Canis lupus familiaris: one gene and its partner. The protein of the gene in region 2 interacts with the protein of the main gene of each other region in a biochemical or structural test. Links are inferred from orthologs where the notes say so. Each region holds a gene or a part of one and is shown on either strand. Other genes may lie near its edges.

Evidence for each region.
Region 1: the proteins of TOM1 (region 2) and TOLLIP form a complex in vitro, tested with the Homo sapiens proteins (3 studies listed by BioGRID and IntAct, with this or other methods). The link is inferred for Canis lupus familiaris from reciprocal best matches to the Homo sapiens genes TOM1 and TOLLIP.

The regions. Positions count from the first base shown.
Region 1 is NC_049239.1:46,008,819-46,013,800, forward strand, and holds part of TOLLIP (toll-interacting protein), read right to left. Parts: intron 4,366-4,982; coding exon 4,275-4,365; intron 1,322-4,274; coding exon 1,107-1,321; 3' UTR 1-1,106. UniProt on the Homo sapiens protein: Component of the signaling pathway of IL-1 and Toll-like receptors. Inhibits cell activation by microbial products. Recruits IRAK1 to the IL-1 receptor complex. Inhibits IRAK1 phosphorylation and kinase activity.
Region 2 is NC_049231.1:29,817,766-29,823,384, reverse strand, and holds the start of TOM1 (target of Myb protein 1), read left to right. Parts: upstream 1-2,048; 5' UTR 2,049-2,155; coding exon 2,156-2,207; intron 2,208-5,619.

The DNA.
Region 1 (4,982 bases), on a different chromosome or scaffold from region 2:
TCCCTCTCCAAAGGCAAGTGTGTGGTGCCCATGTGCGGGCTGGAAGCAGCACTTGACAAACCTCTTATGTTGCTGATTTTTATGAGGTGTCCCCCCACCTGTCCCAGTCCTGTGGCCATGGCCGCCACGCAGCCCACGGCGCAGCACACACACCTATCTCCTGGGAAAACTGAAATGTTCACCAGATGATTACTTCTTTCATCCACAGTGAATTCCCAGGACTGGTACGTTTAGTTAAATTAACATCAGTAGTAGCCAACGGTTCCTAAGTACCCTTTAATAAACAGATACAAAGCACTGGACCTACCACCTCTTACACCCACTCTTCAGGTTCTATTCCAAGAGCTGGTCAGAAAGAGGAGCAGCAAGCCCTCGAGTAACACCCCACAAAGTTGGCATGAGACACAGCAGGAAAAGGCATAATGGGGTCCCTGGGGCCTGGGATGGCCCTGCTCCAGAGCCCGCGGGGGGTCAGGTGGGCTGCCGGGCTTGGCCCACCCTGGATCCGGTGCATTCTGCAGCCATGCTGACACAGAGGTCAGCCCGCCCAGGATACCGATGAGCAGCCCAGGACTGCAAACAAGGAGCGTCAACAGAAAAACATGAATTTAAGTTTGAGAGCCGTAAAAATAACCCCAAATTAGGTGTTAAATGCTCTACGTGCCTGAAAGAATAGATTACTCCAGTTAAGTAAAATAACTGCATGCCATTAATCAAACCTGGAGGACGCGCAACACTTTCTAAAGCGCTGGCAGAGGCAGGCTGCTCATAGAAAGCATTCTTGGGACAGCGTGCGGCGGAGAAGACACGGCACTCGAACACACATGTCTCCAAGCAGCAGGCAGGCAAGTGTGCGTACGCGGGACGTGGCCCACGTGCCCGCTCTTCTCCCAGCGAAGCCAGGAGGAGAGCCACTCACACCCACACCCGAGTGATGGTGGCGCTCCATGGTCAGGAAGCGACAACCCACATGCATCCCAAACGAGGGTGAGGACTGGGACTACAGACGTCCAAGAAAAGGCTACACGGGGCTCCTTCACGGGAATGGGGGGCAGGGGGCCGGGCCAGCAAGTCGGGAGGGCCGAGGTGATATGGCGGCCGGGGCTCTAGGACTCTTCACCCATCTGGAGCAGGGAGTTGATGGCTGCGTCCCTGTCCCCTCTCTGGGCTTCCAGCACGGAGCGGATCACCTCCCGGTCCATGTTGGGGAACATGTCCTGGATGGCTTTGAGATCCTCCTCACTGCAGCGGGGCTGGGTGCTCACGGCGGCTGGGGGCAGGGCCACGGGCACCACACCGGGGCTGCACACTGCAGGCACACCTGCAACCACAAGACGCGGTTTAGGGAACACATGATGGGACTGGCACCCACGCCAAGCTCGTCTTTGGAGCAAAGACGTGTGCCCCTGGCCCACAGCCTCCACGCACATCCCCATTTCCTACAGCTTTCCTCCCCAGCAGGTTTATACCACGCACTCAGAGCTAGGACAGGCTGCTTGCGCTGTGGTCCCTTCAAAGTTCCGGATGATACCATACCAGATGCCAATTTTCACGGACCCAAGACCACAAAGCAATTCTGTCAGAGAACAGAATGGCACAGGGGACAGAAGCTAGACATCAGGTGGCGACTATGGTACAGGCAGGGCACCAGGTGGATCCCTCTGATGCCAACAAGCACGTGAAGCCCGAGAGCGAGGCACACACCCAGGAGCACGTTCCATCCTGGGTCAAGGTGGTGAGGTGCTGAGAGCCCAACTTTCCAGTCAACTATCTGCAGAATGGGTGGGAACATGGGGCAGGACAGCAGCATGAGGGCTTTCCCACACTGGGCGGCACTGTCAGCATCTGGTGGGCACTGCCGTCCTTCACACACTGGCTCCACGGCCCCCTCCCCTCCTGGGAACTGCTTCAGCGCACAGATCCCACAGTGCAAGAGAACTGGGGGGAGGCTCTCAACCCACCCCAGGGTTATCTCTCCCGTGGGACTCCCACCTGTTAGGGGGCAGCAGCTGCAGGCAGCACCCCTCCTGCGGAAGCAGGGTCCACAGACGCATGCATACACCCCTCACATCACACATATGCACACAGGTGCCACACACGCATACACACCAATGCTGTAGATCACACATGTACACACATGTATGCACACACCTCACATCACACGTGTGCACATGCATGCCAAGCACATGCATACCAATGCTGTAGATCACACGTGCACACATGTGCCACACACACATGCATACCAATGACGCAGACCTATGTGCACACACATACATGCACGCACACCTTGACAAGATCATGGAAATAAGTTATTCACACCAAAGAAGATTCTGAAGCAGCACAAACTTCACACAAACACAGGCAGCTGGCACAAGTTCCTGTCTGTAGGAAACACACAGGAGCCAGTGGGCAGCTTGGCCTCAAGAGATCCAGGCAAAAGCTCCTTCCTCTCCTTGGTCACTTCCTGCGAGTAGCTGACTATTCCAAAGCTTACAAACATGCATCAAAAGAGAAGTTCAAAGTCTCCATTTATACAGAAGTCTGGCCTTTCCCAGAATAAACCTCTTAAGACAAACCTCAAAGACTCACAAAGAAAACTATGGAACCAGAAAAACACATCTCATCTCCCGAGAACATGGACTTTCCGTTAACCAAACACGTCCTCGTGCTGCTGATCCTGTAGCTCAAATGTGCCCCTCAGAAAGATGTGTGAGGCGCCAGCCTGGGCACGTGTGAGCGAGACCTTATCTGGAAGGTGGGTGAGAGCCAGGTTGTCCTGAGCAAAGTCTTGATTAGATGGGCACCTCAGATGCTGGCACAGACACCCAGGAGGGGCCATGGGGTCATGGGGCGGAGGCTGCAGCAGGAAGGGTCTGGAAGGGCCCCACCCACACCCTGAGTTTAGACTTTGGCCTCCAGAATGGAGAGCAGAGATTTCTGCTGTGTGAAGCAGAGGTGCCTCCATGGGCCTTTGTTCCGGCTGCCCCAGGACACTCACTACCTTTGGAGAGCCCCCGAAGGCACCTGTTCCTCCTCAAACCTCTAACATGGGAGTGAGACAATGTCACACAGAGCCTGAAACTGCTGCCGTGAAGGGGCAAGGAAGGACAAGATCCTCGGGCAGACATCAGCACAGAGCAGAGACCCCCAAGGCCAGCCGCAGCCGCTCCAGCAGCACGAGCCGCTCTCCCCACTCGTGGTGCTCTCCTGGGGCACGAACGTCCCCTTGGCTTTCTGAGGAGTTTCTGCATCTCTACAGAGACTCCTTCTTCTCACTTGGTAAGACGTTCTCTAGAAACTCATCCTGGCTGTTCCACAGCTCTTTGATCACCAAGGCCATTTCCCATCAGCTGGTTCTGACCCAACCAGGGCTTACACTTCCCCGCAGTTCTCCCCAAAAGTCTGGAACCGGTGTGAACACCTCAGAGGTAGATGCAGCCTCCCAGCTCTGTGCCCGTCCTTGCTGGGCTGTGTTTAGGCTCCGTCAGGGTGAAAGTAAGCCTGAGGCAACACCCCGGTCCTGCACCAGCCACAACTGCACAATAACGAGACCTCTCTTCTCTGGGTGGGCGGAAACCCCAGGGCGCCCCATGCCACCCCAGCCCCGCGCGCCAGTGTCCTGCCCCAGTCCAGCCCCTTTGGTACGATGCGACCACAGCACCATGCTGCGACCCAGCTCCCTATACGACACCGCCTCTGGCAGAGAGCACGGTAACTCAGGGCTCCGCTGCCTCCCTTCTCTCGGGGATCACAGTCCTGCAAGGCCTGCTTGCTGAGCCCGAACAAGCTGCCGCTTCATCTGTTATGCCCAGTTTTATGGCTGTTTGCAGCAGGGAACAGTGGAATCCAGTTACCATCACAGACAGAGCAGAAGCGAACCAATGGCTGGTGTTAATATTTGAAAATTCAAAAGCATGAAAGCAATCCAACTGGATTTTACTAGGCTGCCACAAAGTGTTACTTTACAAAGACGAATAAACACAACAGGAACATCAGGGCTCACAGCTCACTTCGCCCCATAGTGCAGGATCTTTCGAGACAGTAACTCACACACTAACGTGTTCAGAGATTACACTTCTCCACCTCCATAAAAGTTCAACTTGCCAACAGTCTGGGGAAAAATATTCTATATCCTACAGACACATAAAAAACTCAAGCTTCAGACCAGACCCCTTGCGTTTGGAAAGGTCCTCATGAGTCACATCCAGACCTAAGCCTCCGCACGGCACTCCAAGCCCCTGAGGACAGTGCTGGGGATGGGGAGTGGCACGCACCTGTGATGGGCACGTAGCCTACGCCTTGCTGGTACACGGTGGGCATCAGGACCACAGGCTGAGGCGGCATCATGACGGTGGCTGGCAGCGACTGGAATACACCAAATATAATCACGGGGTCATAGGAGTGCACAGCACACACCGAAACGGACATCCTGACACCGTCTTGGTGGAAGGCCCGGGTGAGCCACGGCTGCCTGACATAGGGTCAGACGGGAACGTTCCCCAGGAAGCAAATGAGCACTTTCAGGACCTGAAAGCACTTTCCTGACAGCCTCTAACACACTATTCACTCAGTTACTACAGTTGGGGTTACGTGCTCCTGTGAAAGCATTTGCCGTATAATGAATGAAATGTTTATGAGTAAAGTCACACGGAGCTAGGACTTGTTTTCCAACAGTCAGGCTGGGAACCTCCTTGAGGCAGAGTTAAAACAGGGACACCACCACCACCTCGGTGACACAAAGGTCCCAGACCCCACCTGCCCCAAGAGCAGTGGGCCGCGGACATGGAGCCGCACAAGGCAGGGGACCTACGGGCCAGCATCTGCTCCCTTACACTCTGCGTGGTCCTGAGACCTCTGACCACTACATGGAGGACCTGCTCTGGCCATGAGGAAGCCTGTACACCGAGGAATAGACCCCCACACCATGCTGCTCCTCCCACTAGATTGCCTGACGCCCGCGGGCCAAGGTCCCAGTCCCTCAG
Region 2 (5,619 bases):
ATGGGTGTTGTTTCTGCTTTCACCATGAAGGATACAACCTGTGGCTGTTTAATTCTTGTCAATATATCCAAGATCTTCTGCCCATAATCACTTTAAACCAGAGTGGTGCAAGGAGGTAAGAACTTCATTCAGGGAAATAACCACGAAACATGAGCATGTTAAAGGTTGCTAATGGAAGAATTCAAAAGAAGTTTATGCTAAAATACAACTGCAATGTGCTTAAATGAAGAAAAACATGGAAGATACCTGACATGGAAGTCATCTTAAATGTACATCCTCCCACCCCTTTATAGTCCAAATACATTATTTGGTAGGTTGATTTAAATTTTCAGGGGAGGGACGCCTGGGTGACTCAGCGGTTGAGCATCTGCCTTTGGCCCAGGGCATGATCCTGGATCCCGGGATCGAGTCCCACATCGGGCTCCTTGCATGGAGCCTGCTTCTCCTCCTTCTGCCTGTGTCTCTGCCTCAATCTCTGTGTCTCTCATGAATAAATAAATAAAATATTTTAAAATAAATAAATTTTCAGGGGAAACTGGATGACTCATTCAGTTAAGCCTCTGACATCAGCTCAGGTCATGATCTCAGGATCCTGGGATCCAGCCCTGCTGGGGTGGGGGAAAGGACTCTGCTTGTGGTTCTCCCTCTGCCTCTCCCCCTGCTCACTTTCTCTCTCAAATAAAATCTCTAAAAATAAATAAGTTTTCATATATTAGTCACTGTGCTAGACAATGATGGTGAGTCAAGTAGACATAGTATCCCAGCCCTCACGGAGTAGCTAGCCTGGTGAGGAGAAGGGCATTTATGAATAGGTCTCATGAGCACTGTTGAAGCACAGGAGTACATGACTTCCATAAAGTTCTTATATTGTACAGTAAAGGTATCAGCCCCTGTATGCTCAAACAGGTCAACATAAGGAAGTGATTAACTTCTAGCTTAGGTTCTCCATCATCCTATATTTGTACAATTCCTAGCCTTTCCAATTGGGGACACCTGGGTGATTCAATGGTTGAGCATCTGCCTTCAGCTCAGGGTGTGATCCTGGGGTCCTGGGGTCTGTCTCCCCACCGTGAGCCTGCCTCTCCTGCCTATGTCTCTGATAAATAAATAAATAAAATCTTTTATTTTTTTTAAATCACATACTGTGGTGGATTAAGTACTAAAGCTCCCAGCAGTAGCCCAGACTACCAAAGCAGTGATTATTGTATCTAGACTGCATATGACCAAAAGAATAAAGCATAATAGGTCCGACCTGATCTAATGTGTGGGTGAAATATCTAAAACATGGTACACAGGAAGGTTGGAAGATAGCAGAATCCTAGAACTAGGAAAGGCCTTTGAGATTCTTAAAGTCCGTAACTTGGGGTCCACTGACTTCTGGGACCCTAGGAAGTCCCTGACGTTAAATTGTCTCTCTGCCCTTTTTTCTTCAGAAAGGTTGATGGTTTTCTTCAAGTCCTCAAAGGAGCCTATGACCTAAAAAAAAAAAAGAGAGAAGAAGAAAGTCCTTGATCTAGTTCCAGCATCCGGAAAAAATGGAAGCTCGCTGTGTGAATCACAGCCGAGGTGGGTCCCAGGCCCACCCGTGACCACCTCCGGGTGCCTCTGCTACTCCGGGCTCCAGCCCGCTCCTCGCTGCGGGTCACTGGGCTGGTTCTGTGTCCAGGGAGGAAGCGCTCTGTCGGGGCTGGGAGACGACGAGCCAGAGATGCTGTCGCCGCCGGCGGTGGGGGCGTGGCCTAGCGACGTCACCGGCGTGAAACCGGGTCTGAGCTTGCCCTGTGACCCTACCCCAGGCACTTCCCGGCTCCGAGACCCTGTTCCGCTGAAGCTCGCGGTGCTGGGCCACGCCCCTGAATAAGGCCTGGGGCGGGGCTTGGAGAGGCCACGCCCCTGGCCCGCCCAGCCCCACGTCGTGCGTGACGTCCGCAGACGCCGAGCGAGTTGCCGTGAGGTCATCGCCCTCCGCCCGGCTCGAGGGGCGAGGCCTGTGGCCTTCACGTCAGGGGCGGGGCCTGTGGCCACGCTCGCCTCCCTACGCCCCGCCTCCACAGGCGCCTCCTCGCGGGCCGTCCGGCGCGTCACGTGACGGGTCGGCAGCGCGGCGGTTGCCGTCAGCTGATTCCCCCGGTTGGCGGCTGAGGCGCCCGCAGCGATGGACTTTCTCCTGGGAAACCCGTTCAGCTCTCCGGTGGGCCAGCGCATCGGTGAGTCCCCGGAGCGCCGCCTCGCCCCGCCGCAGGGCCCCGCACCCAGCCTCGGTCCCCGGGGGGCCCCGGGGCGCCTCCAGGTCCCAAGCCACCCTCTGGAGGGAGGCTGGGAGAACTAGGCTGGCGTGTCTCTCCCCGACCTGGCCCCGCCCAGCCTCCCGCCCACCTTGATTGACAAAAGCCGCGCTCCACTAGGAAGCCTCGCCTTGTGGTGGATGCCTAGGCTAGCCAATAGCAAAAGAAAGGGGGCGGGTCCTGGTGGCCGCGGCTCAGCCAATGCGTGGCTGCTGGGGTCCCGAATCCGGGGAGAAAGTTTCGGGGGCTGAAGGGGCAGCGTGGTTTACGGCCCTCGGGCCACTGGCCCGTCTCCCTCGTCCCTTCCGCAGCCCGGGTCCGGCCGCCGGGGCCTGGCCGTCTCCCTCTTGGCTCGCCAGGCTCTCGGGACACAGGTACCGGAGAGGGGCTAGAAGCCCATTCGCCCAGGATCCGGAGACGCGCTTGGCGTCGGGGCCGGCGACTTGCGGGGACCAGGCCCGGCAGCCCTGCTGCGCGCGGCCCCCGGCCGGACCCTGGCGATCCCGCCAGACCAGCAGCAGCCGGCGGCACGGTCGCAGGCTCCCGAGCTGGAAGCGACCTCAGGAACCTCCTGATTCCGCCTCCTTCGTTTCTCGTAGGCGGGTGGGCCAGGCACTCTGGCCGGAGGCACAGGCTCACTCCGAGCCCCGGCCTCCCGACTCTTCCTGCCCTCTGTTGACATCGCCGCCTCTGTTTCCTCCTCACCTATAATTAGGGGCATATTAATAGCCCCTGCTTCCGTGGGGTTGTTGTGAAGCTTCAGCTCCTTAATAATTGTAAAGTACTGGGAACCGTGCCTGGCACATGGCCCTGCTAATATAAAACAAAGTGATAATATATATTTATCGTCATTGTTAGGGAGATGCCAGGAAGTGAGGGTCAGGAATCCCTGGAAATAGCTGTGTGGAGAGTCTCCTAGGTGCTCCTTGCTGTGCATCAGCACGGGGAGGAACCACAGGCCCTGGGCCACACCGCTAACACTTCCCCTTTGGGACAGCCTGGATGTGCCTCCCCGCATTAGGAAACTGTGATATTCTCCCTTCGACCTCTTGATGGCCCTTAGCGTTCAGTCTAGACTGGGAAAATTGGACCTTTTAGACATTTTTTCCTTTCTTATGGTCTTGGAAGCCAAACTTCACTTAACTGTCAACCCAGCTCTGCGATGTCATCGGCACCAAGGCTGTCAGTGGCTCTTGTGAGGTTTTGTAATCAGACTTCTCCAAGAGGAGAGTAGAAGTCCAGGATTAATTTGCGAACCAGAGCGCTCCTGGACCAGGGAGGTGAAGCTGCCCTCTGAGGAACACCCTCCCCACTGCCTGCCACACACACACCCTGCAATGAGTCATTGTTTTGGAGCTGAAAAGAGAAAGTGGCTCTCCCCTCATCTTTATTTCTCCAACAACAGATACCACTGCTCTCATCACATGCCAAGTTTGAGACTTCCTACTTTAAAACAAAAAATTCTGACCTTCAAAGTCAGCCACGTTTGCTGAACCTTTGTAGAAAAGCTCACCTGGGCTCTGGGCTTTAGCTAGTCAAAAAAAAACAGCTTCTCTTCCTATCCTGAGGGTTGCCTGTCTGTGGCAAGAAATACTCTGTCCAAAGAGAATACTACTAAGTCATAATACTTCAGAGCCCAAACCAAATTTTACTCCTGGAAGGATCCTTACCCTGGGGGTCTTCTAACTCAGGGTTCTCATCGGAATTCCCTGGAAGACTTGTTAAAGACAGATGGCTGACTGGGCCCCACCCCAAGAGTTTCTGACTCTGTAGGTCTGGAGTTTGCCCAAGAATATGCATTACTGACAAATTCCCAGGTGATGCTAATGCCACTGGATTGGAAACCACATGTTGAAAACTTCCATTCTGGCCCATCCCCTTCATTTTACACAGGAGAAGACAGAGGCTGGAGAAAAGGTGGAGACTCTGACTCACCCAGGCCCCCAGTGAATTGGTAGTGAAGTGTGATGAACTCCCCAGAACCAATGAAATTTGAACCAAAGCTGAAGAGGCTCTCAAAGTAGAATTAAATGAAGAATAGCTGCCATTTGAGCAAATGCCTTCAGTATTCCATGTTTTCTCTTTTAGAGAAAGAGATTGCCTGTGATTATTGACGACCTAGTAGTTCTGTAAACTATAGTAGTAAAATAATCTCAAGGTTGCCAACTCCACCCCCCTATTGTGAGTAGGGCCCTGTAGAATTGGCATCCCTGAGCACAGCGAGTTCCAGTGGTACTTATCAGGGATGTCACTCAACTCATAAAGCTCTCATCCACCCTCATACCCAAGCACTTTCGTGGAATGCCTGCTCCAGTGTGCATCCTTCAAAGCTCAGACATTGTCACCTCCTCCCTGAGGCCTTCCCTGACCCCCTTCCTGACCCCTTCAGATCCAGCTGTTGCTTTCATGCTCTTCCATCATCCCCATTCCTCAGGCTTCTTCATTCTCTGCCTTTGGGCTCTGAACCTCTATTTCCTCCTGGGTGGAATGGTGGCTACAAGAGCATCTGCCTCTCCGGGTTGGGTGGTAGTGAGAGTGAAGCGAGGACCACCCCCCCACCCCGCCCCGCCCCGGGAGTGCCTGGCACATTGTGAGTGAATTAGCTCTTGCTGTCCTCATCATTGTTTCTATTATTTCCACCATCGCACACTAATGGAGCCCTGTCCCATTCTGTTAGTAGTTGCACATATGTGTCTCCCCAGCTAAACTAGACTTCCTAAGAGCAGGGACTGGACCTTACTGGTCAGGACCCTTGGCACCTGGCATGGTTGCTAGCCCATAGTAGGAGGGAAGAAAGGGGAAAAAGAAAGTGACCTCCTGTGAGCAAATACCATGTGCCAGGGACCATGCTGGTACCCTGGTTATTAATATCCACGGTGACCCTATAAGGTTTTGCTGTTTTTTCCATTTTACCAGAAGTGTGAGAGAACATATCATCTCACAGCTACTCGGGGTCAGAATCCGGACCCAGGTTTCTCTGGCCCAGAGCACCCATCCTCTCCTACCCCTCACCACCCTGTATCTGGCTGATCAGTGCATACTTGGGATTTATGTTAGTCCCGCCTTCCAAGAGCCACAGATTAGCTTTGCTGATTATGGTATACACGTGAGTCTGTGCACATTGCCAGGTCACTCAGCCTTATCGTTCAGTAGGAGAGCTTCCCAAGAGCAGCAGCCTGTGGCTGAAAGGGTTCCAGATAATTAGCACTAGATGGTGTTGACAGAGCCCTCTTCTTGCAAGGATTTCAAAACCCTTCCCAGTATCCTCTGAGGACAGATCCTATGGGTTGTTTCATACACAGACGTCAGAAGGCAACCCAAGAAGCCCATTGTC